Linked DNA regions of Drosophila melanogaster. The protein of the gene in region 3 interacts with the protein of the main gene of each other region in a pairwise test. Each region holds a gene or a part of one and is shown on either strand. Other genes may lie near its edges.

Evidence for each region.
Region 1: the proteins of lobo (region 3) and Edem1 interact in a two-hybrid assay, tested with the Drosophila melanogaster proteins (one large-scale study listed by BioGRID).
Region 2: the proteins of lobo (region 3) and zfh1 interact in a two-hybrid assay, tested with the Drosophila melanogaster proteins (one large-scale study listed by BioGRID).
Region 4: the proteins of lobo (region 3) and Vps33B interact in a two-hybrid assay, tested with the Drosophila melanogaster proteins (one large-scale study listed by BioGRID).

Annotation. Positions count from the first base shown.
Region 1 is NC_004354.4:1,902,955-1,911,701, reverse strand, and holds Edem1 (ER degradation enhancer, mannosidase alpha-like 1), read left to right. Parts: upstream 1-3,722; 5' UTR 3,723-4,082; coding exon 4,083-4,207; intron 4,208-4,267; coding exon 4,268-5,396; intron 5,397-5,466; coding exon 5,467-7,157; coding exon of another isoform or gene 7,158-7,161; exon of another isoform or gene 7,162-7,380; intron 7,381-7,420; coding exon 7,421-7,490; 3' UTR 7,491-7,998; downstream 7,999-8,747. Other genes in the region: Rbcn-3B (Rabconnectin-3B), read right to left, coding at 1-945; mip130 (Myb-interacting protein 130), read right to left, coding at 3,347-3,349.
Region 2 is NT_033777.3:30,762,646-30,769,689, reverse strand, and holds the start of zfh1 (Zn finger homeodomain 1), read right to left. Parts: upstream 3,765-7,044; 5' UTR 3,407-3,764; coding exon 3,310-3,406; intron 1-3,309. UniProt on the Drosophila melanogaster protein: Involved in the development of the embryonic central nervous system, embryonic mesoderm and adult musculature.
Region 3 is NT_033777.3:25,189,806-25,196,713, forward strand, and holds the start of lobo (lost boys), read right to left. Parts: upstream 3,972-6,908; 5' UTR 3,850-3,971; coding exon 3,433-3,849; intron 3,362-3,432; coding exon 3,233-3,361; intron 3,002-3,232; exon of another isoform or gene 2,480-3,001; coding exon of another isoform or gene 134-2,479; exon of another isoform or gene 81-133; intron 1-80. Other genes in the region: dan (distal antenna), read left to right, coding at 134-2,170; CG13653 (uncharacterized protein), read left to right, coding at 5,755-5,914, 5,983-6,530. UniProt on the Drosophila melanogaster protein: Key component of the nexin-dynein regulatory complex (N-DRC), essential for N-DRC integrity. Involved in the regulation of flagellar motility. Involved in sperm motility. Required for the sperm to enter in the coiled storage seminal receptacle (SR) tubule.
Region 4 is NT_033777.3:25,469,746-25,476,643, forward strand, and holds Vps33B (vacuolar protein sorting 33B), read left to right. Parts: upstream 1-3,744; 5' UTR 3,745-3,770; coding exon 3,771-3,827; intron 3,828-3,882; coding exon 3,883-3,983; intron 3,984-4,040; coding exon 4,041-4,359; intron 4,360-4,423; coding exon 4,424-5,869; 3' UTR 5,870-6,011; downstream 6,012-6,898. Other genes in the region: CG4553 (uncharacterized protein), read right to left, coding at 6,017-6,898.

The DNA.
Region 1 (8,747 bases), on a different chromosome or scaffold from region 3:
CTTATCACCGGCGTGTTGCAACACGTAGTAGAGGTAAGGTGCATCCCTGACCACACTCTTCGAGTGGAACTCCTTGTTGTCGGGAATGCAGTTTGCGGGCAGCTTGTACAAGTAGCCCTTTCCCTCATCTGTCCATAGCATTACCCGGTCGGAGGTGATGAAGTCGCCGCCCTGCCAACGTTCCCTTGCGGGAGCAATTACGGAGCAGAGTACAGTGAAGTCGCCGGCATCGTAGATCTGCCAGTATTTGGTACAAACTAAGAGCACTGTGCGCTGGTTCTGGGCGCAGCAATTCATGGTGATGGCATTCAGGCAGCGGATCTCCTTGGATTCGTTCTCGTAAATGGGCTCCGCGTGTTTGTTCTCGTTACCCGTCAGAGTCCAGACCTTCACGGTTCCGGTGGTGGTGATGGCCAACACTACGTCATCCTTGCGACGCATGGGGCGCAGTACGTGAATAGCGGATATCCAATCCGGTTTGACCTTTGAGCTGAGCACGTAGATCACCTCTAGGCTGAACGGATCCATGACCATGATTTCAGCATAGTAGCCAATGCAAAAGAGGCGCACATCCTCGCTGTTGGCGGTGTGGTAGCTCTGAATTTGGGTGTGCACCTGTGGAAGCTTGACCGCCTCCATGCACTTGCCGTCCGTAAGATCCCAGGTGCACATCTCTCCGTTCTCAGACGAGCTGACCAGGAAGTTGTTCTCCGGCAGAAGCGAGGCACGCACTAAGCACAAAACGGGCGCCGAATGGCCCACCAAGAGGCACCGCGGCGACATCTTCAGGGTGGTGGGCTCCACTTGCCAAAGGCAGATCTGTCCATCGTAGCAGCCGGTGACCAGGGTAAACTGATCGTCCGAGAGGAACACGCTAGAGATGCAGTGCGTGGGCGCGGTGGGACCCCACAGCACCACGGGTACCACCAGATTGGTACTCACCATGGTGGTGCGCTTTACCCAATCTGTGCGGTGGCTCTCCTTCTTCTCCTCCTCCGCCGGCTTCCTTCTGCTCCCTGCTCGTGTCGCTGGTAATCGTTGCTTTGCTGCGACTGCGGGCTCTGCAAGAATAGTTATTGAGTAAACATTTGCTCACTTCCACCTAGTGGATGCGAATTATTTATGGTGGCCCCTGTGTGTGTATGAACTCCAGTTGTGGTCGGCTTTGAGTGCGTGGATGGTGCAGTGAAAGCTGCTAGTCAGTGACTCACCCAAGGTCCTTCGAATTCTGTGATTTCTCATCATCATTTTATTCAACCTGCTTTCCTAGCAGCTAATAGTGCTCTACAACCCACAGCTGTACGATGTAAATTGAAAACTGAATTTATATGGCGTTCTTAATGGAAAAGATGAATGGCAAAAGGGGTAATGTTGCCTAACGTTTTATAAACAAGCTCAGTTTCTCATTTCCTGTTGAATGTTTAAACAGACTTCGGGAATAAGCGAAATCGAACTAAGCAAAGTTTACATTTACAGCTTATGCAATTTGTAAACAATATAAGAACAATTAAAGGAACAAAGTGCAGCCACATTGTCGAGACTTTTCATATGCTTAACTGACGATTTTTGGGCCACTTACAGGAGAAGCATAACAAATTGGGTTGTAAATTCAAAAGTATTTATAGAGATCCATCTTAAATCTTTACCTAGAGTATGTGATAAGATAAGAACTTCCTATTTTTATGGATAGATTATTTGGTATAGCTACAGTCTTGGGTCTTGCGAGCTGGTTCTCTGGTCTGATAGTGATTTCTGTGTGTTATAGTTGTATCAATCAGGAATATGACTTTATCGTGTTAGAGAGTTCTTCACAGGGCTTTCCCCTCCTAGCTTGCAGGTGAATTTGTCAGTCGGAGTGACCTGCAAAGCTCTTCAGATAAGACCGCATTACAGGGGACACTCGTTCCAGCACACGCCACCTTATCGGCACATGTGTCCAACTTGGCCAGCCTCCACTGTACTCCACTCCACCTCGGATTGTCCAAAGATAAACAAGGGTTATACAATACATATGTGCGGCAAAAGCAGAGACTCAATCCGCGGATATATATCGGGTTTCGTGCGGAGCTGGGTATATGGGAGGGCGCCTGATGTCGCCAATTGAAAGATCAATTAATTGGCCGACTATTTGGCATCGCAATTTGAGCGGATTTTGCTTCTGCTATCGCACACAAACACACACACCCTCACACCTGGACACGCACACAGGGACAAGCCATAATAATTGTAGATAACTGGGCATTTATCTAACATTTTTCAGCAGTTTTCCGTATTGGGCTGGCTGCCGCGCGTGATTCCTCCGCTATGGATTCCGATTCCGATGCCAATTCCAATTCCAATTCCGAATCCGAGTTCGATTCCGAGTCAGCCTGCTCTCGATATGGAGAACTTAATGATGGTCCGCTACTGGTGGTGACGCTGCTTATTGATCCTGGTCGACGGACATCGCGGTGGCGGAGCAGCGGACTTCAATGTCGATTTCGATTCGATTTGATTCTAATTTATGGACACGGGACGGGCGAAACGCACACCACCCCCCGAGCACACCAACACACCAACACCTTTCCGCTGTACAGATTGCTTACAACACACACACGTTGCGTTGCTGTTGCTACTTTGTTATTGCTTTTGCTCGCCACTTTTGCGAACTGCTCATATTTGTTGCACACACTTTCCGCTGGAACATGCACTCCACGGGATCAAAACACTGCACTGTACTTTCGATTTACTTAGCTATTTCCTTTTTTTTTACACGAGTGTGAAAAAAAAGCAACGAAAATCGACCGTGGAGTAAAATTTTTCGATAGATTTGCGTGAGCGGATAGGGTTGCAACCGCAGCTCCGGACGCTCTTCTATCGATGCCATGCGAGGGGCGACAGCCCTGACCAAAAAATTTAATATTTTTCTTTAATTGTTTATAAATATGCAAACAACTGGGTGGAAACACGATTTCCAGATCCCAAATGGCACACGCTTATATCTACGGTCAACGGGATGGTTTCAATGTGGTTTCTGGTCAGCCAGAGGCAATCCCGCATGTATAGACCCACAATGTTGTTACTTTTCGCCCAACGGACAATTAAGCATACGCGATTGCATTTAAACGATCGCCTTACGCGGAGTACAAAAGGCACACGGGCCGTGATGCAGTTACTCCGCGAGGTTATAGTCGACCCTCTTTCTGAGTTTTTTTTACGCGGAGAATGATTCAAAACCGAAACACATCGCTGCCCATCGCCAGAACTGCAATTCGCAGTCGGAAGCGTAACAAAGGCTGCGGATTTCTTGGTCAGCTCATCCGGAGGATGTCCGGGTGTGAAACGGGTGCAGAGGGCAGTTACTTACCATAGGGTACAGTTGCTTCTATTGGAGGCGGTCGTTTCGCTGAATATTTTGAATTTAAATCACTTTTTACCCGTACGAACACACACTTTTGAATGGCCACAAAAAAAACTGGTATGTGCTGCCAACTCGACGCGAATAAAAGTATAAAGGAACGTGTGCCGCGCAAAGCAGTGACAAACAATCGGTATATTTGTCATCACAAACTTTTTGAATTCTTAAAGAAATTGCCATTTAATTTTTCCAACCCGACTTTAATATTGCCGCGCTGATTTTACGGCTATTCTGAGCTGTTGTATTCCTTTAACAAGCAATGACCACCATGCAAATTCGATCTGACCACCCTTTCGATAGTTATTCGATCAGCAACAGCTGATTGCACCCTACGGAATGACATATCCTATTGCTAGGGATTTTGTTGGGTAAAATTAACGTACTTCAGAATTGGCGGAGAATACAGTGTTTGCTAGCCTATAGTGTTTGGTTGTTACCTTAAAAAAGCTCTTTGGCTTGTGTTCTTTCCCCCGTTTGCTACTCTAAGCGCTCTATAAAAAAACACTCACCGAACGGAATTAGTAGGGCATTCGGCGGTCGATGCCACCGCCGAATCAGCCCTTGTTGTGATTTTGCGTCAACGTAGCCGCATTTGACTTCCACACATCCCACATCCACGCTGGCTATGGAACACTGACCATGCCCATAATTGAATTAGCGGCCCTGATTGATTGACTGTCCCACGATGCAGCAAAAACCCCGAAACAACGGCTATCCGGGCACCCTCATCTGCGCGGTCCTCCTCGTCCTGCTGTCCACCGGTGTCAGCGGCCAGAAGCAGTATTCCAAGGCAAGAAAGTTGGAACTGAGGTGGGTCATTGCTAGGGCTAAACTCGGACATACTAATCCTAACCGGCAATGAATCTGCAGGGAGGATGTGCGGCGCATGTTCCAGCACGCCTACGATGGTTACCTGCGCCACGCCTCCAACTACGATGAACTGCGTCCGCTGACCTGCGATGGCCACGACACCTGGGGCAGCTACTCCTTGACACTGATCGACGCTCTGGACACGCTGGCCACCATGGGCAACTTCACGGAATTCCGCCGCGCGGCAAGACTGCTCGAGGAGAAGATGGATTTTGACAGGGACATCAACGTGTCCGTGTTCGAGACAAACATCCGCATCGTGGGCGGGCTGCTGTCCGCGCATCTGCTCTCCAAGCGTGCTGGCGTAGAGCTAGAGCCAGGATGGCCCTGCAAGGGACCTCTGCTGCGACTGGCGGAGGATGTGGCCCGACGATTATTGCCAGCCTTCGTCACGAACACGGGTATGCCTTATGGCACGGTGAACCTGCGCTATGGCGTGCCCAAGGGCGAGACCTCTATAACCTGTACGGCGGGCGTGGGGACATTCCTCATCGAATTTGGTACCCTTAGCCGGTTGACCGGGAAAACCATCTACGAGGATGTTGCTATGAAGGCGGTACATGCTCTATGGGCATATCGCTCGCCCATTGGACTTTTTGGCAATCACATCGACGTGCAGAGCGGTCGTTGGACCGCCCTCGACTCTGGTATCGGAGCAGGAGTGGATTCCCTTTTTGAATACCTAGTTAAGGCATCTGTCCTGCTCAATCGCCCAGAACTCTTGGAGTTATTCCATGAGGCTCGCGCGGCCATTGATAAGTACATGCGGAAGGAGGACTGGTACGTGTGGGTAGGCATGAACAAAGGCCGCGTCACCCTTCCCGTCTTTCAGTCCCTGGAGGCGTTTTGGCCCGGCATCCTGAGCATTATTGGCGACACGGAGCCGGCCTTGCGCACCATATCACGGTACATTGGGGTCTGGAAGAAGTACGGCTTTCTGCCAGAGTTTTATAACATTGCTGCTGGAGAGGCATCGCCGAATCGGGAGGTGTACCCCCTGCGACCGGAGCTAATCGAGTCAGCTATGTATCTCTATCGAGCCACAGGAAACGAGTATCTTCTGGAGTTTGGTGAGCACATGCTGGAGACCTTGGAGTTCAGTGCCAAAACCAAATGCGGATATGCAACGGTGAGAAGTTCTGTGAACAAGCTTTTTAAGAACTTAAAATTAATTAATATATACTTGCATTATTTTCCAGATTCGCAATGTTGTCACCCACGAAAAGGAGAATCGCATGGAGTCATTCTTCCTGGCGGAAACAAGCAAGTACCTTTATCTGCTGTTTGACGAGGAAAACTTCCTGCACAACGATGGGTCCGGAGGCGAGCTGCTGTCAACCGAGGATGATGTATGCGTGGTACAGGCCGGTGCGTACATCTTCAACACAGAGGCTCATCCCATGGACATGTCAGCCCTCCACTGTTGCCACGCCCACAACGAGGACATCTACACCTCTCTGGATCTACAGCGGTTTAGTCCACGGGCGATATTAGAGAGGAGCAAAAAGCGGCAGGTAGCTGTTCAGGAACAGTGGGTGCCGCAGTGTCACCCAGAGAACAACGAGTTCTTTAATAAAGAGGATGAGAGTGTGCAGGCGCAGGACTCTGAAAAAGAGCAGGAACGCGAGCAATCCGGCACAAGCACTACCATGGCCGTAGATATTGAGGTGTTCGACGAATTTCAACAGCCCGCCGGCGATCTGTTAGTAAGCAACTTCGAGCAGATACGCGAGGAGCGGGAGCTAAACGAGAGCCTGCACAGAAACGTGGTGGCACGAAACCAGTTGACAGTCAGCGATTTGGATGAATTCTTTGCTCAGCGACGGGAGAGTTTCGCAAGCGCCTCCGAGGCTCTTAACTATGTAAAGACCTTCATGGGCAACTATACCATGGATGTAGCCTTTATACGGGGCTTGCAACTGTACGATACTAATATGAGTAGTGTATTGGGCACAGGCGCCCAGAAAGAGTATGAGTCTCGAATGAGGACCCTTTGGCAGCTGTACGAACTGCAGCAGCAATATGTGGCCAACATCCGAGTGATTCAAGGATTAGGTTTGCTAACCTTTCCGGCGGACGGTGACCGGATACCTAGCCATTTGACAGAGGTGTTGGACAGCCTGGATAAGTCGGCTCACTTGGAGCATATGGATCTACAAGATCTCGAAACAAGAGTGTCCAATACCTCCTCGCCCCAGTTGGCTCATATAAGAGAAGTTATTCTAAAAGCACGTAATGCCTATGCCATAGCCATGGTCAATACTTCGGCCATGCAGGAATTTGCTATCCGAATCTACCTCAGTGGCACTTCGGAGGCCGGTGTTCGCATTCACCCACTTTTGGAAGACGGAGAACTAAGTGAGGAAGCACGTAAAAGGCCATTAAAGTTGGCGGAGGAGCGAGCCCTCTTCAGCTACGCCCGTCGAATAGTGGACTTTCGGAAACGAATGGCGGAGACAGTTGATCGATTGCAGACGCTCATGCAGGACATTCCGCCACCCAAAAGGAAAGAGGCCACTACCGACTCTCAGGCCGCAGATGCGTCCACAGTCTACACTCAAACCAAAGCCCAGATGGCGGCGCCTGCACAGCAGCCGGAGCCGAGCCAGGAAGAGAAGCAGTCGACACAAATTCAAAAAGGAAAGCTTGCCGAAAACGGCTCCGGATTGGGTGAAGAGGAGTCCGGCTGCGTGTGGTCGCAGTTGGTGCAGACCATCCTTCGGAAGACCACGGTGCAGCGGGTCAAATTTGACGAGGCCGTGCTCCAGGAAAATACGCGCAAGGCACTGGAGAAGTACGCCCGCAAGGAGTTACCCCACCATCTGTTCGCCTGCCACCGGCCGGAGTACATTGAGGGATTCGCCTATCGGGACTTTTATCCGGAAGCGCTGTAAGCTCGCAATCACCTCACCGACCAACACGACTGATCTGTAGATAGATATGTATGTATTTAGTTACTTAGGGGTATTCGCTCTGGTGACTGGGCAACCACATAGATAAGTCTCACGCAGATTTTATTCCCAACTGCTCTATTTCCGATGGCGATTGAAAAGTGGGCTGTTGGGCCCTTTTATTAACTTATTTTTGCAAAATTAAAAGACGTTTTTTCTGGTAACGATTTCGAACGATCATGGTATATTTTTTTTTTTTTAGCAAAGTTCGGCGTCGATGCGCGCATGACAATGAGCGACTCAATTGCAGAGCGAAAAGGACAGAGCGCTAAGCCAAAGCGGCAAGCGCGAAAGTACAAGATGAAGACAGCGCGAGAGGAGGGGAACTTAGATAACGAAAGAGAACCATCACCTCTAACGGTTTTCTGATATGTTGCCGATCATGATATTTGCAGTGCTGTACTTTGTACTTTTCTATCGTTTAAATTGTAAGCTATGTACATATATGTACGTACATATGTATGCAATTACCAAACCATTTCCAGGAATTTCAACTTCTTGTACAATCATGTTTACCAGCGATTTTTTAAAGCTCAGTTAAGATATGATAATAGAACTTCCAAAAATATGTATAGCTAAAGAACCTTAAGTGGTCCTACTTGTGCCGACAATTAATTTAATTAGCATATGAACCCGCAACTCTTGAGGTTTTCTCAATACCTTACCAAGGCTTAAACAAATTTATATCTGTAATAATAATGGTTCGAGTGCTTGTGTGCGTGTAAACTATTTGCGATGACTGTTGTTGGCTGTATTGTAATTAAATTGATTTATTTCCGTATTTATGTATTCAATTAGATTCGATTAGGCTAAAATTTACGACGAATCGAGAGAGTTGCACAACCCGAAGCAAATGTTGAGAATCGCGGCGGCCAAGTGCCGGATGTGGTGGCCACCTGCTCCTCTGCCTCTAGATAATTTTGTGGCTGCGATTGTTTGGACACGCAAAGGCAATCGCTCGAATGGGTTTATTTTCGGATATTGCTGTTTACTTCAGGGATTTGGGTTTTGGGCTTGTACTAAATTACGCCAACGACATGAATGGAGCCAGCCCTTGGGTGCTGGAAGCAGTGATGCGAAGGTATAGTAAGCTCCTATTGTTTACAATGTAGTAGTTAGCCTTAAAATAGGCGAGATAAGTTCCAGTTCCAACCAATCGATGACTTTCGCCTTCGGTACACTTGGTTATACTTCAACCAATTCCAATCTTGAATATAACCAGTGATCCGTCTCATCACTGGCTGACGTCCTTTTACTTTCTCTTGAGCCAATCGCATACATCGCGGACAGCCCACAGCACCTGCTGGGGAAATTCGCCCGACAGGCGCCTCTGACGTTGGTGAAACTGTGATTGTGGGTCACACCACTGCCATCGACACCCCCGGGAGTTGGGAGCAGCAACTCCTTGGGCCCCGTGGGCTGCGTCGTGGGGATGCGTGTACAGTATTGGTAACGTTGCCTGCCATGCAGCAACAATAGGAAAACTTTAATGAGTACAAGTTGCTGCCAAAACGAAAAGACAGCCAGGC
Region 2 (7,044 bases), 5.6 Mb from region 3:
ATTAGAGAAATATGCCGCAGAGGTGTTCAAAGCAGGGGAAATCGTGAAGGAAATATGCCCGGCCATCCATGAGATACTTTGGCATCTTGTTCCTCAAAGGGAGCGAAATAGTTACTTTAATTAGTTTGAATAATATTCGAAAAATCTTAATAACGCACAAACTAAATTCGCCATTTTAAAGAGATCTCTGAAATACTTTAACGATTACATTTGTCAGAATAGCAATAGTTATGAGTTATTTAAAAATTGGCATATTAATTTACATATATATAAATACCAAACTGAATACCAAAAACCGAAGCTTCAGCCAGTTGAAACGTACTTCATTAATTCAGCAAGTACAACCAAAGTTGGGCTTAACTTGGCTAATTGATATTCACTTGGTCCTCTCGACTCGTGTATAAATTGTACGCGCTCGAAAAAAAAACAACTCCGAAATAAAGCCCATCGAGTGCAATTGAAACTTTTTCAGTTGGCGCTACCACAATAGAGCTGTTGACTATTTTTGTTTATTTAAAACTTTTAACAATTATTGTGCAATTGTGCGAAATTTATTGCAATTGAACGCCAATCAGAAGGGAAGTGCCCTTCTGAACCCTCTCCACTCGCCAATTTCATGGCTTTCCCTGGGTTTTCCACTCCGGTTTTTCTCAATGCCAGCACCCGTTAACCAAAATCGTTTACATGTTAAATTGTGCCTGCTCACTCCTTTTTTTTTAGAGCCTCCTCTTTGGCGCTGCAATTTTGCCTGCCCTTTGGCAACACCTTTTTTAAGGGGGTGTTGCAAGGGTTGGGTGGCAGGGGGCACCCTTTTGTTTGCGCCGATTTTTTGGCACTTTTTTTTCGGGGGATAGCACGGGTAGCAATTGTTGTCTCGTGGAGAGCGGCGGGCATTAAATAAATAAGAAAAAATATATTCGCAAGGAGGCGGGCTGCATTCCGTGCAATTTTCACTTTACAACTGTTTCAAAGTTATCTTTGTTTCAATTGTGTGCACGACGGCGGCAAAAAGCGAGCAGCAAAAAATATTGGCAAACAATTTACTTTTTGGCCAAAATGCGAAATAAAAGTAAAATGTGGCAAATAATTTGCCCAAAGCTGCGGCAGGTTGAACACGGAATAAAGGGAATCTGCAGCAGGATATCAAAGAGGACTTTCCCCTCATTGATTTATTGTCCTTTTGTGCTGGTTGCAAATGGGGAGCTTCCTTTTTTTTTTTTGCTCTGTAGCCTGGCTCAATTGCAATTTAAAGACACAGTCTGTTTATTTTGGGCAAAGTCGGGCCGAAGTCTCCAACTCCACTTGAGATAGGCATCGGCAAAATTAATCATCTTTGCATGCCAGTTGCCAGATAGTTTGTGGGGCCAAGTTTGTTTAATTTCGATTACCAGCTGACGGGGCAGAGTCCTGTGCCCGGTGAAAGATGCAGGATGAGCCGGCCAGGAGTTATAAATGGCAGCACCGACAGCACCAGCATATAAAACTGACATCCACTGACAGCAGCCAAAATGATTAATTAGACAGGAGGCAATCTTGTTGCTGGTGGAACACACACACTAGGTAGGTATTCCCAATCGAAGATGCAAATGTCAGATAAATGTTTAATTTCTGCTCAGGGCTTCGATGGGCGAAAATGGGAATGGAAATTGGCGCTGATTTATACATAGAGTATATTTAGAGTATATTTAGCTAAGGGGCGTAGTCGAAGGTGATAACAGGCGACAGGTTTTCGCCAGGGCGAAATCTTTGATTTACGGCATTTTGGAGCCGTTTCGAAATGCGACACAACACACGCCGAGCAGCCGGAAAATTAGTACAACTTGACTAGCTGGCTGGCTGACTAGCTGGCTGGCTGGCTGGCGTTTTCCCCCGGCTTTTCCAAAAGCCCAGCGAACAGCATTTCGTATGTAGCCGGCGATTAATATCCATCGCAGTCGCAGCTGCCCAGCGCCATCAAGCAGCTCGGTTTGCCCAGGGAAGAGACGGAAAACAAGCGGAAAGTATATGGATCGAAGATATGTGGGCCAACCTGTGCGCAGCCATCTCTGATCGATTAGCCAAACTATCGTGTTCGAGGGCTTTTAGTTCCGCCCACAGAGAACGGAGCTGCTTAAATAGCCATAAATTATAATTTATGGCAGCGGTGTTGCCACCGTTTCAACCGTTTCCACCGAACATGTGCAATTAATCCGTCTCTTTAGCTGGCTTATCAATTGTCAGAGTCGGAGGAGTGGAGCACCGAACGAATCGTGGGCGTTTCCCCAGCATTGCGCCATCCCCAATGCTCCCCAACTAAGCGTTTTCAATTAATTTCGGCTCTTTCTCACACCTTCCATTTCAACCGATGAGCTCTGCCCACTGACAGTTTTATGCTTTGTTTACACTCGATAAACAGAGTGGCAAGCGACCAGCAATATGGCCATAAAACAGGTTCTTAAATGGAGGTGCGGCATCGCGGTAATGGTGTTGGCCAAGTTAGCTACCTGTCGTCTGCTGTTTCAGCCTGCGCATGCGGTTTTCCTGGTCAGGGGTAGCTCTACCTGGTTCTCGGTGGGTGGAGATTACTGGCAAGGCGGCGGTGCTGTTTCGGCGGTGCCAACAAATCAAATTGAGATGTGGCTGCAATTGGTCGGCCACTGGGAGGAACAGAGAGGTGGCTATGCTATGCAATGCAGGGAATAATGCCATTATTCAAGATCGACTGGCCGACTTTCATGTGTGAAGAGCGTGATATGACCAATAGATATAAGAAATCGAATGATCTGCCATGTTAAACCGTACTAATTTTAACTATATTGTAGTTTTAGCTCATGGAAAAGGACTTTCGTAGCTGAAAACCAGCGAATGATTATAGTTGAACAACAATAAGTTCTTTAAGTTCTCAAAGCGTATAGAAGTTGCACAAAGTGACCCAGTTTTCTCTCAGTGTGCTGATCGGGCAAACTTTTTCGGTTTCGGGCTCGCTCTCTCCTTTTTGAGAACCGGAGCCCGTTCTCTGCGTAGGAGTAGGTAATGGTAATTCGAGACCTGCCTCGATCCTTACTCGCCGTTTATGAGTTTGTTTTTCTATAGCTACTCATTCTTATGATCCCCTGAAGGTGGAGACCACACATATACCCAAGATGGCGGATGGTTTCTGGGAAACTGCTAAGCTTGCATGTGGGGATCTTCAAATCGAAGCTACCGAGTCTTGGCGCGCGAATCACTTGAACACAAAGTTCTATGGCACGGCTGATTGGTGATAATGGAGGCGGTTTGCGGATGAATCACCCGAGATCTGTGCTCCAGATCCGCGTTCTGATCACTTACACTGCATGGCGAAGGGGGAGGTGGAGGGCATGCTCTGCTGAATGATGGTATCCTCTTGGCCGAAACGTGAAGACGACGGCGCCAGACAGGACAACATTTGGAATGCTTGTTGCAACACTTGCTCTACTTTGATGCGGATAGTTTGTTTGGCTAGTTGGCTAGTTGGCTAGTGGGTTCTTCTGGGCTCGGCGTTATTTCTTTCTTATAGAGCACACACGTGTTGTGGCGGCCATTTGGGCAAGGGCCTTGGGTTTTTTATCTTTCGAACATGGGAAACACTGGGATTTTTCTTCGCGATGCGCCGCTGCGAGTGTCGCGTTTGTTTTTATTTTGTGGGCGATTTCACTGATCTGCGTTCTATATCTGCGTGATTCTACTGTGTGCTGCTCAGAGTTTTCTCTGTGGGTGAGCGACGCGTGTGCTGCCGTCGCGACGTCTACGATGCAACTGAATTCAGAGTTCTAAGTTTCGAAGCATCAAGCCAAATCCGAGAACGAAACAGAGACCGACGTCCTCTACCGAATCCGTCGGATGCGAACTGTGAGTTTCGGGCGAGGGCGATACGGCGGGGTTCTACGTTTCCACGGAGAGCGAGTGAGAGAGGGCGGCGCTGTTTGTGTGTGTGCTCCGTGCCACCACCAGCATAATATAACGGTGTAACGGTTCACCGTTCCGATGTACGAGGTGATTCGGGCGGGGGTAGTGTGGTTGGTGCTCTAATGCTCTGATGGGTGGTGTGTTGGTGGTGGTGCCAGAGAAGCGAGAGCGCTTCATTCTTAACATAACAGCTCTCTGTTATCGCATATCGTAAATGTTAAGCGCTGTTAGTGCCGCTCCTCTCGGTTATCCCGTGACGTAAGCACTACGTAAGGGTGGCCTCTTTTGTTCATCGTGCTGCTCGTAAACATATGGCCGTTATGCGGGATTTGACTATATTAACATTTGCACAAAATTTCGTTTTTATTGATAAAGCGACTTATGAGTCTTTCCATTAACTTTTCCGCCAACCGTCAAATTTATTTCGGTGTTATTTTATTAATACTCTGTGCTGCTGGGTATCAATATTAAAGTGTAGAGCTTAAGTGATTTACATATTTAATTGTTATAATTAGGAAATATTTTTAATAAACAGTTTAATACTCAACAATAAATAGGAATTATCTGAAATTCCCAGAATTGAACAGCAATAAGATAGTTTAATTATATACTTGTATTATAATTTTTTAAGTCTTTCCGGTAAATCAAGTTTATGACAAAATATTCCCCGTGTGGGAATTACACACATATGTATGCATATCGCTATGATTAATTCCCCACTCAAGAAAGCTTTCGATCGTTTTTCTTTCGGGTAAATTTGGCGGTGCGAGATAAAGGGGATTTCTTTTTTCCAGGGAATCCCTTAACCCTTTCCTGGCCACATCGCTGCGTTAACGGACAAAATCATTTGCACTTGCGATTGCAAAATTTCCTCTGCTGCGATTTCCGAGTAAGAAATACCGAAATCGTTCCGCGATTGCCACACATTAATGACATCGTTTGCTGATGGGCGAGTTCTTGAGAATGTCCATCAATGGACACGTCTACAAAATGACAGAAGAACAGAGATCCAAGAGATCCCGGACAACCGAAGAATTCTAACGAAGAGAGCAGAATGCGAGTGGCTTGATTCTTTGGCTCCATCAACAAGTTTTGGCGGCCCCTTGGGATGTTGCTTTTTTTGTACTTTATATTTTGCTGCTCAAAGAAACATATAGATTTGAAAACTAAAAGTATAAATGGATAAAAAGATATTTATGGTAACAGAAATTGTGTTATCGAAAAAAAAAGCGAAACATGCTCTCTTTGATAAAAAGCAAAAACAAAAGGCGGACTCGACAACATAATAAACAATTTGTACATTAATTTTTAATGCGGTTAACATGTGTTCCCCCTTCTCCCTCACACACCCATACACTCACAAACGCGGTCGCTACGTGTGTGTAAGTGTAAAATAGGTGGAGCTTCATAATTTTCTCACTTGAAACGTACTGCCATGAGCGGGAAAGAGAGCGCCGGCGGTGCAAGCGAGAGAGAGGGAGAGAGAGATAGCCGCCGGAGAGGCCGCTTTTTTTTTGTTGCCTCGCATTCATTTTGTATGTTAATTAGTTGCCGTTCACTCGCGTGCGCGTGTGTTGAGTATCTGTGTGAGGTGGCGTGGGTGTTTAATGAGAAGCGAGCAAGGTGCGCACATTGGTCGTCCATCGGTTGCACCTGTTGCGCTCGTTCGATTGGCGGAAAAGCCCCAGGGAAAATTGGAGGCTGATGAAGTGGGAAAATGACTCAATAAGATATATGCGAGAATGAATCAGAATAGATATTTATGTCTGGACTTGAAAATAATTCATCTCTTGCAATGAGCTCGTACCTCCCCGAGTTTTGTAGATCTTAATCCGCCTTCATAAGTATATATTTTTAATCAGGATCAGGACGATTGCTGTTTCCCAGCACTTCCTGTTCCTGTTCCCCCAGGAGTTGCCCTCATTAACCACTTAATTGACACACATCCGAATCGAAATGCATCCGAGTTCAATGGCGAGTACCTTCAATTACCACGTCCCGCATTCGCACTCAAGGATTTTCTTCCCAGGCTCTCGAAGGCAACACCCACTGTAGGTTCTTTATTTAAATTGGATTTGTCGATCATTTTCCGATTGCTACTAGCTTGGGCTTCCACGACTTTGGAAATTCTCACCCACCGCTGCTGGTACCCACATAAAATAGAGTTAGCTAAGTACTTTCGATGGTTCCGCATTGACGTCATCGACGGAGGAATCAATTAATTTCACTTTACAATCGTCGGATCGACGAGAAGATGAAGCAAAGGACTCTGGGAAAAGGCAATCCTTTTCGGGGTGTTTGCTGTAAATCTCAGATCTCCAGATGGGTCATCGCATTCCCACACTCCTTGGGATTGAATTGCATGCATGTTTCTCGTTTTTCCACAATTTTTAATTAGCAGTAAACTTTGCGCGGCCCCGAAAAACAAAAGAACCCGAAACCAATTCAATTCGAAACCGAACCGAAAAGTAATGACAGCGTAAATACTTTTCAGAATGTGGTGGTTCTATATGGCATAGAAAGTGGTGTGGTGTGGTGGTGGTGGTGGTGGTGCTGCTGGTGCTGGCCTCGGTGGTGCAGAGTGATGCACATTTTTGGGGTCGCCACAAACATCGGACTCTCGGCATCGGAATCGAAATCTCAAGTGTCCTCTGTTCTGCGGCCGCCTTTGCCTCATTTCGTTTAACACTTTATGTGACATTTAAGTGGCGGCGGGGAAATGTCAAATTTCCTCATCGTCCCCAAAATGCATGTACAGCGGTCTGAGCCCCATTTTCCCCCTTCTATTTTTCAAGGGTTAGAACTTGATTGGGGCGGTGGTTTTAGTCAAGTGTGTGGTTCTCGTGTGGGAAGATTTTCCCCCTCGTGAAAAGTGCTCGTTCCAGGCGCAAAGTGCGATTCCTGGTTTGATTTTCGTGGAAAGCAGCGTAAACTGATTGGTTATTGTCTTGGAAATAATGAAATATTATAAGCAGCGAGGGTTACAGTTGCCACTAATTTAGGCAATTAATAAAATGTCGAAAATCATTAATAGCTAACCTTAAGGTTTATAGTTATTCAAATTTTTAGTGAACTATTTAATAAGACAATTTGATTGACTCACACTAGCGCCCCGCTTGCCTGCTTTCTTTCTCCTCT
Region 3 (6,908 bases):
ATCGGTCCGCCGTGCGATATGCGATATGCCAAGTGTGTCACGGTAATTAATTAAGAACCGCTTGTTCTTCTTTCTTGCAGACGCCAAGCTGTTCGACAACGGCCTAAAGTTGGATATTTCCAGCTACCCCCACATGAACATCCGCATGGGCACAAAGGGCAAGCGTCCCCTGCGGAGCCTGACGCCCCGCGACAAGATCCATGCCATCCAGAGGATCCACGATGGCGAGTCCAAGGCCTCGGTGGCCAGGGACATCGGCGTGCCCGAGTCCACGCTGCGCGGCTGGTGCAAGAACGAGGACAAGCTCCGCTTCATGTCCCGCCAGTCTGCCACGGATAACCTCTGCGCCGACGCCCTGGGCGATAAGATGGATGGAGGAGGAGGAGGAGGTGGTGGAGCAGGCGGCGGAGGTCTTCTGGGACCGCCGGAGAAACGCCAGCGTTTGGACGGCGCCCTGCCCCTGAACTTCTCCAACAAACTGAAGTTCGATGAGCTGGCCTTCAAGCGATCCCCTCTGAATGGCCTGGACTACAGTACAAACAAGAATCTGGCCGATCTTGGGTACAATGGGCTGCCCGTAGACTATGCGGCCTTTAATGGCGGGGTCAAGGCCAAAGTGTTTGGTGCCGATATCAACAGACCCGCCGCCGATCCCTCCCTAAATGCAATTAGTCCGCTCTCTAGCTTGACGCACCTTTCGGGTCTCACGGGCATATCACAATCCCCGCTGGCGATCAGTTTCAACGAGCTGACCACAAACCTCAACTTGCTGGCCCAGCTGAATCCCGGTCTGGCGGCCATGTCGGGTCTAAACAGTTTCCCAGCGGGCGCTGGTAACCTGAGGACCCCGAAGCCCAGTGGCCAAACGCCGCTGCAGGTGCAGAGCCCCAGGAGCGATAGTGGAGATCGATCGGCGCAGGGATTGTCGGTAAAGAACTGGGCCAAACAGAAGCCGGGGGAGGGCCAGGGCAGCCTCAATCTGAGCATCAAGAACGAGGGCAAGGGAGGCGATATCAAGAGTCCCAGTCCTTCGATTGCTCCTTCGCAAATGGGCGGGCCCATGACGCTCTCCAATCTGGCCGAAGATCCCTTGCTCTACTGGCTCAAGTCGCAGCAGACCATGTTGGGTCTGAATCCCCTTTATCCGCCCACAATTCCCATGGGCGTGACCAGTCCCCCTATCAGATCTTCCACGCCGCAGCACATGAGTCAGTTGGCACAGACTCCGCCGATACCCTCGGCTCCGCTAACACCCTCGTCCACACCGTCGGGCAGTCTGGACGAGAAGAACGCGGCGTGGTACAACTGGTGCAAGGCGTTCGGTGCCAGTCTGCATACCCTGAATCCCAATGCCGCCACCTTGGCCGCCCTGCAAGCCAACCAACTGCAGCAGCAGGTGGCCACCACGGCCGCAGAGGGGGGATCCATGGGAGATCCCTCGAACATACTGTACTCCCATCTCACGAAAGAGACTGAGACGCCGTCGGTGAGAAGTTTGTCCTCCAACGAACAGAATCCCGAGGCTGACGAGGCCACCGAAACCGATCTCGATGGCGAAGTGGAGCCGGAGGCATCCGGGAAACCGGAGGATCTCTCAGCCGCCGGCAAAGTGATGACCCCTTCGCAAAGTCCCATTGCCCATTCATCAGGCAGCAGGAGTCCCGAACCAAAGGCGAAGACCAAAACCCCAGAGACCACGAATTCCACAAGCGAATGCAAGAAGATCCTAGACAATATGCTCTTCAAGATGGGCGGAATGGAGGCCACTGGTCCGTTGATGCCGGAACAGGGATCCTCCGAATCGGAGGGCAGCTTCCAGGACACCAGCAATCCGCATACGAACAACAACGATGTGAGCGCCAGCAATAACAATAACAATAATAACTCAAACAAAACGGACGAGGAGGAGAAGGCCAAGTATCTGGACTGCACGGCGGACGAGGATATCGAGGCCATCCGCCATGGCGAAAAGTTCCTGCAGTGGCTGGAGAATTGCAGCAATCCCCGCGTGACGGCCGTGCAGCTGATGCAACTTCGTTTCCTAATAGCCGCCATCAAGTCGGGCAACGAGACACCGATGATCGAGAAATCCGCTTTGCCGGAGGACAGCGAGGAGCACGCCGCGGAGGAGGAGGGCAGTGGGCGGGGCAAGAGTCGCCGTCGCAAATAGGAAAAGCCAAAGTTGGCGCCCACGGAGCCAGCCACGGATACAGAGATAGAGGATAGCCCAGACGGTGCTCTGCACGATGCAGAGCCAGGACCCGGTGTCCTGGCTACAGATGCAAATGCAGATACCGCCGAGGGCTCGACGAGGTGCCATGTCTATGCGCCGGCCGTCTACCGATCGTCGGCCACCCTACTCAGCTCCCTGTTCTTCCCTCCCTACGAATTTGTACATTGTGACCTCGACGATGACCCCGACGACTGCCAGATCACGGGCGAGTACCAGCAGTACGACGAACTGAGCTCCAGCAGTTAGACCACATGGTTCCACGCATCCGGAGGACTCCACTGAATTTATCTCCTAGCTGTGAAACCTATCGAGCATACTTTCAGTATCTTTCAATTCAATTCGAATCCACTCCATTGCATTGCATTGCATTGTATTAATTAATTAATCGTACGGTTAACGTGTATATATCGAGAAACTCTATTTGTAGCTATTATGCATTTCTTTTTGAACGGAAAGACAACCGACTCTGTTTTGTTAGTTTGTTTTTTCACCCAATGATGCATTCTAGAAAAATGTTATAGCCCTTAGTTTTTGTTACGAAAAAGAAAAAATACTTTTCGAACTGCAAGGTGTGTTGGCGCGAATGGCATGCATTTGATATCAAACGTTTTTAAATTTCGTATATTAATAACTATGGAAATGTGCTCAAAAGAATTTTCTTAATTCGGAATTAATGCGATATTTAAATAAAAACATTTACAAATTTAAATGTAATTTTAAATACATGTTCAATAAAAAATAATTAGATAATTTTTATGAAACTCTTAGAACTGTCGTCGTATTTACTTACCGCTGTCGTATTGGAGGGTCTAAGTGGTTTTTCATATATATCTACTAAAATACCTAAATGTTTTACTTTTATATTTACAAGTATAAATTGCCTTGGTCAAGTTATTGAACATTTTAGAACGCATAAACTTTTAAATATATTGCTACATGAGCTCGGAACATAAGAATAATGGATATGTGATTGGTTCAACTTTGCCATAATAGACTTACCAAATTTATGGGATCCTGCAGTGGCTCATACTGAATGAAATCGGCGACAAACTTGGCAATTTCCTCGACACTTGATATGAGTTGCGTGTAAATAAACGCCGTTGGCCTGATGGTGGTGCAAACGAATTTCTGTAAGTTGGTTAAGAGTGGCAATTTATCAAAACGCTGGCCACTAAAGGAGCAGATGGTGCTGACTTCACCTGTACTTTGCATTCGTTGGGCAGGGCCAAGACCATGGCTCGTCTCTTTGGGTAGCTGAGAACCAATTGCTTCCGGAAATTCTCAGCGTACAGCAGGAGCAACCGCTCCTTGGGCGAGAGGGTATAGTACGATGGAGGATAGCACTGGGGACTGTTTTCGAACTCCTCGACTGTTTCGGGAAAGGATAAATCGATCTTTCCGATATTGAGCGATGGTTCTCCTTCGGATAAACTAAATTCACTAGATCCCATTTCCTCCATTTCCGCCTCGAACTCGCCCTCCATTTCATCTGCAAAATCCGATTCCGAACCTTGCGAGCGCCTCTGCTCGTCGATTTCCTTGAACTTGGCGCTATAGCGACTCGGGTCGATGTTGCTCACCACCTTCTTGTACTTCTGAAACAGTACTTTCGGCATTTTGGCGTGGTTACAATTGCCGGCTCTTTAAAATAATAAACAAGAAACTTCGTTTCTATAACTACGGTGTTTGTAGAAAAATATATATTTTAACGGCTAGATGTGACAGAAATTGAAATATGTATTGTGTTGTGCTAGTCTGTTCATTGTAGCAAATAAAATATATAAAAATTGTAATTTGCTTAAAAAACTTTCGTAATTCTAATTAGTTTTGTGTGGGTTTCGCTTGAAATAACTTCTTATAAGAACGAACATTTCCTTCTTCCGGTTGAAAACTTTACTTTACATTACTTTACTTCCTGATTCTGGTTTGCGTCTGGGCTAAATAACCGTTGTACTGGTTTGTAACTGCTTTGGCATTAGATTTGAACTTCTTTACCCTGCTTCGTATATCAATTTCTACTGCTTTTTTCTCGGTTAAGTGTCTACATGTAAAATTGAAGTAGGGTAACAATTTTACCCAAAAGTCTTTTTGTAACGAACATTTTTAAAATAGAGCAAGCAGGTTGTGAATAGCATATGGCCATCACCTTTTAGCAAAAGAATAGTAGTAAGCTTCATGTCATGAAGAGAATAACTTTAAAATTGACATTAGTATTTTTAAAATAGTAGGTAAGCCCTTGAACGATTGATTACCTACTGCTTTTTAGCCTTGAATATTAAGGCATAGCTATATTTTAAGAAAATAAAAAACTATTTAATTTCCATTCATTTCGCTAGTCATTTTCAATTAGCTATTTTTTCAATAGCTATTTTCTATAAAATTTGATGGAATGTATCAAAGTTATATTTGTATTATAGCACAGAAGGCACAAAACTTCCCTACTTATAAATATTTGGTAAATTGTATGACAAGTCACATATTTTAAATGTGAAAAATTGATATAATATATAGAACTACTTCTTCACCTTGTGCATTTTTTGTTGATTTAATTTAAATAAAGCTAATTCCACATTCAACCTAATCTTTTCCCTGGTTACCTACATACATACATATGTATATTTCGACTAACTTTATTTATTGTCATTATGCATATTACATAATTACCCGTCGAAAACTCAATGCTGGTCTTCCGCAGCTGCAGTGGCAGCGACAGTGGCAATGGCTTACTTAGATGGCACATTTTTTAGGGACCACCCCCTTGTCTGCATGCACCACAAATTGCATTTGCATTATTTATATTGCATCAATAAAACCCGCATTCAGGAATAATTAGCGAGCGCAGAACTTGTCGATGAGCAGGAGCGGAGACCAGCGGATTGAGATCGGCGCAGTTGATCCGTTTATGGCTGGCGCTAGGATTTATTTGTACTTCCTTTCGCATTTGAAAGGCGAGCGTCTACCTGGTGAGCCTGGTGAGAGCGGTACATTCATGAAACCATTTGGCGCTTTTAAGCGACTCAATTACGCACTTTGATTCCCACATTGGCCGCTAGTAGTCGCCTGTCGTTGGGTGTCGCCTTGCTCTGCCTCGTCCAGCTTGGTCCTGTGGCAAGGACTGAGGACTGGACGCGGTCTACCTGGCCGCCGTCTGAGGCAAGATGCGTAAGCACTAATTTTTGTGTGCGCTCAGTTTGCCGTTTAATTGCCGCGGCTCGCGCTAAGTGTTCCCTAGAAAAACAAAGGCAGGCGCTGCGCGTCGGAGGTTCAATCAAGCACATGTCGTCCTGGGCTGACTCCTTGGCCAAAAGTGGTCCTTGCGCAGGCGCCCCGGATGTCTCGAGTGTCAAGCGCCTTTGCAGCCATTGTCTGATTATCGCAGCCACGCAACGCTGATGTGCGGTTATGTCAATTAACGCGGATGCGGATCAGTCCGAAAGGATCGAGGTATATAAGGGTAGCTACGCAGGAGCACAGGACATCACATTCGCCACAACCACCGAACGAAGCACATCGATCTGAAGATGCAGTTGGGAAAAGCTATCATTCTGATTTTGCTGGCGGCCATCCAGCAAAGCTGCCTGGCTCTCTACATCAAGAGCGCGGAGAAGAATCCAGCCAAGACTGGGCCCAAGGACGATTGGGGCGTCTTCAAGAACACACTCGGACTAAGCCAAGAAAAAGGTGGGTTGCGACTTAGATTAAAGCTCATTTTGAACTCTTCACTAACTTTGTCATTATTTCCTCTTCAGTTGAACTGCTAAAATCGCAAAAGGACCAACAAGGCACTAAGGAGCTGCTCAATCGATTCATTCTGGAGAACCCAAAGGCACTGCCGAAGGCCAAGCCACAACCCGATCAGTTCATGGGACTCTACAGATCCATCCTGAAGAAGCTGACGGCATCCAAGCGCATGCTGAAGACCTCGTTGAACTTTGAACTGGCCGACAGGCCACACAAGACCCTAAAAAGGCCGCGCCGTAAGATCGCCGTCAAGATGGTTTCCGATATGCCATCATGGAAGATCGAGAGCCTGCTGAACTCATTCTATCTGAAGCACGGAATTCCACGCAACGCCGAGGAGCACGATTATCCCGATCTTGACATGGCCAGGGATACTGATTACGAATCCGATAATTTCTACGACGACGAGGGAGATGTGGGTCTAACGGCCAAGACGCGCCAGAACACTGAGTACGGATCCTTCCAGGACCTCATTATGCAGGCCAAGATGAACGAGTGGGAGCGGGAGAGCGAAGAAACCAAATTGCACGGCCCCGACAATGATGACTACATCTAAATCCCTAGACTATCGATGATGGAGGGCTGTGCAATAGAGGTTCATATGCTGGCATTGGACTTGTCTTTAGGCTAGAGTAGTTTATAATGCCAGAAACGCGCTTTAAATCAAACGATTGTTTGAGTATTTATTAACATAGCATAGCATATAACTTTCATATTTTTTTTTCAACATGAAAATTATAAATAAAGTGACTAAGAAGATTTGAAATGAAACGATAATGGTTTATAACTGTTTGACGTTTGAAGTTGGCCAGTTGGTGTCTTATATGTTTGGCAATTCGGAGTCCTTCAAGCTTTTGGTATAAACACACCTGCGCATGTCCTCTCCACACAGAGAGCTTTGTTCAACGGAGCTGGTAAATATTCTCATCTTAAA
Region 4 (6,898 bases), 280 kb from region 3:
ATCAAATATATCGCCATCTATCAGTTTAAATTGAAATTTTATGCACAAATTAAAGTTGTTCTGAATCTTGTTTCTCAAACACATCTTCCTCATTCAAATATACGTTTTTCCAAAATATACAAATGTGCTAGAGAATGTATTTCATGTATTAATTCATCTGTAGCGTTTAGATACTTCTCAAGTATATTTCTTAGGCTCAGTTCCACGAATATAGTGGCCAAGTAACGATTTGCTGATTTATTCGCTATATTTGCCGCACCTTCGTTGCTTTTCTTTGTTTCTACTTGGACACGCGCCAAAATACTTTGCTCAAGGCAGGCAAACCACACACACAAACACTATCTGTACGTCAGAGCAAGTCATCCATCCCAGATTCTACATCCCCAACATATATCCATTGTGTCTCCCAACTCGAGTTGGGTTCACTTTCGCCATTCTGGTTCGGCGCAAGAAAAACAAACATGGCTCAGTGCGTCCGTCCCAAAGAAATGATGAAAGCCGAAGAGCGAAGAATGCCGTAGAATGAACAATTCTTTGTTACTTGTCTTGTCTTCGAGTGAGTCGAGTGAGTCACCCTAACGTAAAGAAACGCATGAGTGCGAATTGCCGCGATTGTTTGCGGTTTTTTGATGAGTGTGCTAAAATAAAGCACTCACTTTTCTTTAAATGTACATGCATATATGTACTCACTTTTTGGGTCTAAAAATATTGTAAAAGAAATATACAAATTAAAAATACCTAATCATGTAAAATGAATTCGTTACCAAACTAGCACACAAATCAGCTAAAAAGCGACGCAGTATTGGCAAATGTTCAAAAAACGTAAGAATAAACTTCAATCGCATTTTTCCAACACACACATGTGTCAAAATGTACCGAAAATGCTGCCCAAAAATAGAACCCGCCAAGTATGGGAATAATTACATTTTTAAACAGACTTACGCCAAACACCAGAGATCGAAAAAGAGAGTGAAACGAAGCTAATACAAAGCAATTTATATGTGTACAAACAGACAAATGGAAATATTTGCCATATGCCAACAGAAGAACAATACTAATTGGGTTTGATGTGTGAGCGTGGAAATGAGCAGAGCAAAAACAGACATCAAACCGACGAAAATTCACACGCCTCCTCCACACAGCGAACCAAAACGAGAATCTTTTTGGGGATTGGGTAAATTTTTTGGAGGGGGTGGGGGGTAACGAATAGCAACGCACGTTGCAAAAATGCTTTCTGCTTTCTTTTTCAAAATCATTGCTGTTTGCACGAGTTCTTGTTTCGTTTTCTTCTCCCGTAGATGTGTAATTTGTTTCAGGTTTTAATTAGTGCCGAACTTTGGCAAGAGAATTTATGGGGGTGCGATTGGAATTGGGATTGGAATCACCTTCGGGTGATGGTGTTGTTTATTTACCTATGTAAATGCAAATGAATTATTTCGATTTGCTTTGCTTTCAGCTTATTATTGTTTTTATTAAGCGAGTGAAGAGCGCATCTCGGACTGGAAATCGAATTGAGAAACGCCGATGGCCTCGATAAACTCAGCGGAATTTCCCATTAACGGGAATCCACATCTTCTTTAATCCAACTAACGATTAACCACTCTTATGAGTAATAATAAAATGTCGCATTAGTCGGAATAAAAATTCATTTCAAGTAAAGATAATTAACTTGCTTTTAGATTTATTCCTAAAGCGGATCCTAATGATTTTTTCTATATCTAGTATATAATGGTGAAACTAAGCAGTAATACTAATTTCAGCACAAGAAAATCAAATTGTTTGTATTTTATGCAATACAAACAAATCTCTTAAGATTTGTTTAGTTCTGAAATGATGATTCATGTTTAAAATTTCTCGCACTTTCGAGAGCAAACCTACAATTATAAAAAGAAAAATAATATGAACGCAAATTTTACATTATTTATGCTTTCAATTATAAAACAATAAATATTAAAAAAAATCATATATAGTTGAAACATTCTAACGTGACTCTCCTAACAAAACATACTGTTGCAAAACCTGTTCTAAGCTAAACTACTTAAAAACCTTTTAAAACTTGTAGGCAATTAGCAAAAGTTGAACAGTCTGGGCAAAAATTAAACTTTTAAATAAATCGAAAGGCCAATAAATTATAAAACCCATGGCAAAAACTTATTTTTAATGGGAGAGAGGGAAATACAAACAAATAAAGCATAATTGGGAGGGGCAACAAGAACAACAACAATAAGAAACGGGCATTAGAAAGATGAGCACGAAGAAGAAGATGCGATTAGAAGGCACGGGAGCGCAAAGAATAGAAAAATTAAAAGTAATCTAAACAGCAACCTGTGCAGCGTGCCCGAGCGAGACAGCTGCTCAAACCGGTATCGCAACAACAATTGAACCGCAAAGAAAACGCGAAGAAGACACACACACGGACTATAAGAAAATAATGTTAGCCACTAAAACAAAAACAGAACGAAGCGAAAACACAAAGATAATGATTGACAAAGGCAACAATGTACAACTGCAAGCAGGACAGAGTGAGAAGGAGAGAGCGGTAAAAAAGAGACGAATCTGCGGCACAAAAGAGAAGACGAGAACATGCAACAAGCTGCAATTGCCCAAAATAACAACAACAAACCAGACCGCACGGCTATTTTTGTCATTAGATTAAATATTTCACATATTTTTGCACAGTTTCACCCACATGCGCCAAACCCAAATTATTTATAAACAATGTAAGTGCAAGCTCACCTGATAACTGCAAAATAGGCGCCTGTAACTTTTGATAATATGGAAAATCTCAATTTAAATTTGTTGTTGGCTGTTGCTTTGCTTGTTGTTGCTGCCGCTGCTGTTGTTGTTGTTGTTGAATTTCACGCGAAAGCAGGCAAGACAACAACATAAAATCACAAACACTTGCACGCACATACGTCACACACACCCGCACACACACTTGGACAGCTGAGACATAAACACACGGAGAGCAAATCGCAGCGAGAATGGGAGAGAGAAAGAGACAGAGAGCGATAACAAATTTGTTTTCTGGTTTTTCTTCACGATTTTATTACACGCTTTTCGAATGGCTAACCATATTTTGATTCACATTTAATTCGCTCCAATCACAGTGTGTTCCGTGCGCTTGCTAATTTTCGATTTTCCACCGCAGAACTCCGCCCGTTTTGCTGCTGTTTTGGCAATCGTCTCTCTCCTGGCTAAAAACATATGATTTCGGTTGACGGAATCACGATAAAAACACATAAATGCGAACAGGGCGCGCGCAACAACTTCCCACGACAAACTCTCGCTTCGGAATTTGGAACGAAACTGCCACTTTTGCAGCGAATCGCGCTTAAATACCCGTCTAAAGATGGGAACGCATGGCGAACCGGTTCGATAGTTCGTGAGCGAACAGCCTTCGCACAGTGGTATGCAATCAAACTGAGCAGTAGATTAAGTACTTTTGTTTAACAAACCGGATAGCTCGAACTTTGAAAATAAGTTTTGGATCGGCAGGAATTAAGACTGTGCACAATTAATGCTTTTAATGGTGACTCAACACTTTGTGACGTCAGTAGTAGCATAAGTTCAAAATAATTAATTTGAGTATAGCTTTTGTTTAATGTATTGTATAGAATAACTAGTAATACTGCTTTTTTGACTGCGATAAACATTTACGTAATAAAAACTGCATATATTTGCTTTGTGACAACCCTATTTTATTTTGCGTGCGTCACCTTACATTTTGCTACCTTGCTGCATCAGCTGTTTGTGTTGTGCGGCGAAGAATGGATTTGACGCTGGACAAAAAGCTGCAGGGATTCCAGTTGGTGGCACAAGAAAAGGTATAATAATGAATCGGAAGAGTGAAACTATTAACTACCTGCAATTCGACTGCAGCTTTGTTCCATACTATGTAGCATACCTGGAAAGAAGGAGTTAATTTTGGAGCCCGACTTGATAAAGCCACTGGAACATGTTGTCACTGCCTCCTGGCTGAAGTAGGTGTTTAATCCATATTTTATGGATATTTACGTCTTATATATACCCCTTAACAGGTTGAAGGGCATACAACGGATCTACAAACATGATGCGGCACAATCTTTGCCCCGATCCGCCGATCAGGTGCACATCTACATGATCCGCAGTGTTTTGGGTACATTTCAGACACTTCTCAAGCAATTGCAACCCGTGGCCTCAGAGGAAATGCCCGACATCTCCATGAAAATGTATCACATAGTCTGTGTGCCCAGTTGTTACTCCTATTTTCAAACCCTGCTGGAACAGGCTGGTTTGTACGGACTGGTGCAACTTCATCACTTTAACTGGGACTTCATCTATTTTGATCAGGGAGTTCTCAGCTTGGAGCTGCCCAATGTGAGTAGATGTACATTGAACATTCAGAAAAGAGTCTTTTATACTGGATATTCTTATTATTCAGCTTTACGAGTGTCTCTACCTGCAGAAGAACACATCTCCATTGCCTGCGGTGGCCCAGAGCCTGCGATTGCTTCAGATGATTTGCGGACAACCGTCTTTGATTCTGAGCTTTGGCCACCACTCGTCGCAGCTAATGCAAATGGCGAAGACTCTTGGCAAACTTCCGGCGCCCACAAATCCTCCAGACTATGGCGGCTGGCTGGTCATCGATCGGGATAAGGATTACCCCGCCAGCTTGCTCACTCCGGCCATCTATGCAGGTCTTCTCTTGGAAGTTTTCGAGCATAGTTCTGGCGAGATTCTGGTAGACAATTCCAAGAACAAGATCCGCAGCCAGCGTGTGGAGTTACTCCAGGGAAAGAAATCCAAGATAGGCGTAAACTCAGCCAGCAAGCCGTGTTCCATTCGTCTTAACTCCACATCCGATGAGATCTACGGCGATAATCGGTACAAACGATTTGCTCAGGTCAGCAGTTTGATTCACGCACAAGTAAAAGCCCTGGGCTTGGAACTGCAGAAACTCAATGACATGCAGCTGGACGAGATGCATGACTATGTGGCCAGGAAGCTACCCAAACTAACCGAGCTTAAGAGCAAAGTCCTTAGGCATCTGAATGCCAGCGAGATTGTGATCCAAATGATGGGTAACTTCAGGAAGCTCCAAACGCTGGAGGAGGACATACTAAACAATGATTCAAGAAAGCGATTGCTAAGCGAGATCGACGAGCTGTTGACCACAGATGGTCAGAGATTTAATACACTGCGACTGCTGTGCCTCTTGCATCATTGCGTTGGCGTGGCGCCCGAGGAGCTGCAGATATTTGCGCGGAACTACTGCAATCTGTTTGGACACCAGGAATTGGGCGTGTTCCAGCAGTTGTCGCAGGCGGGCTTGTTGCCACCACTTGTGGTGGAGAAAAAGGCGCCAACGAAACTGCTCTCAAATCTACCTCTGCCCAAGTTCCAGCAAACGGAGTTTCAGGCCAATGCTAATCGGCTAAAGCTGTTGACCTCCAGTGGAGATGGTCAGGATGGAGGTTCCTCCTCCAAGAGCCAATCCAGTGGCTTGCAGACCTGTCCCAGTTTTGTGTTCAATGGCACCTACATACCATTGGTGGCTCAGCTCTGCTCCATTTTGCTGAAAATCAATAGTGCTGAGGAGTTGTCCTCGAAGCTGGGCATGATTGAGGGGCTGCATCTACACCTGGACAGCGGAAAAATCACGCCCAAGGCCTATGCCAGCCAAGTGAAGCTAAACGGAGTTGCAGATCAGGATATGTTCCCCTTGCGTCTCAGGAATCTCTTTGTATTCATTGTGGGTGGTGCCAGTTATGCGGAAATCGCCGCCTGCGATTTTGTGGCAAAGCTAACAGGCGCCCAAATAACCGTGGCATCCGACTCTCTAATGGCGGGCAGTGATTTGATCGCCACCGCCTTCAACCGCTGACCATGAAGTAACTAAGAATCTGTGTATCAAATGTTTTATATATTTTTATACAAAACAATGATGACAAAGCTTGTGATTAACAATTTTCGAAATTTACAATTTAAACAATGCTCTTTTCGAATAAATATTACCTAAAAGTGGCATTTGCTATTTATCACCACTGGCTCTGGTCATTCCAGGCACTCGGTAGAGCAGCTCTCCATCGTCATCGTAATAGGCATCCTCCACCCGGTAAGTGGCTCCTTGGCGATGCAGTTTCCGGGGAATAACAATGCGTGTTTTCACCTGGGTTATTTCATACTTGCGCTGATCCGCGGCACTGATCACAATCTCGCTGCTCGCAAACTTGGGCACGAAACTGGGCAGGAATCCGGTGCCACTGGGATTCTCGATGGGCCGCTTCATTTCCTCTGGAACTGCGGGCGCAGACTCAACGAGCTGCAATTCCTTAAGCTCCTGCAGCCGCATCTTCTTTTTATTACGGATTTTGTCCAACAAATAGGTTTCATCTTCGGCAGCAGAGGGTGGAGCTTCATAGCCGGATGGGATTTGTGGTGTAGGCATCTCCTCTGTTGTTTTACTACTGCTGCCCAGCAGTTTGCGGAATTCGTTGCCTTGCGGAGTCGGTAGTTGTGATTTTGTGGGCCAATCCTGGATTTTAAGCTCCCGCAGATCCTGCCACCTTCGCTCGGCGAATTTCTGCAGATGCTGGAGAAGAGACGGTGGGATACTGAAGTCACCCTTTCCCGTCCCTAAAAGCTGCCAGTTTTTAATGACGGTTTCATCGTGGGAGCGTATCCTTTGCACACTTCTCGGTCGCCACTTGGCCCGCAGAATTTTCTGCACAATGTCCGGAGTGGCGGGAAAACTTTCGGCCAATCGCTCAACGCTCCATTCCTCGGGATCTCGCTCGTGCAGCAGGCGCATCTGCTCCTTTTCGGCATGAAGCAAGAGATTGGGCAACTTGGCGTCTCGGAAATACTTGTGCTTTATCATAAACTGACGGATGCGGTCGCGATGCTGCTGCTG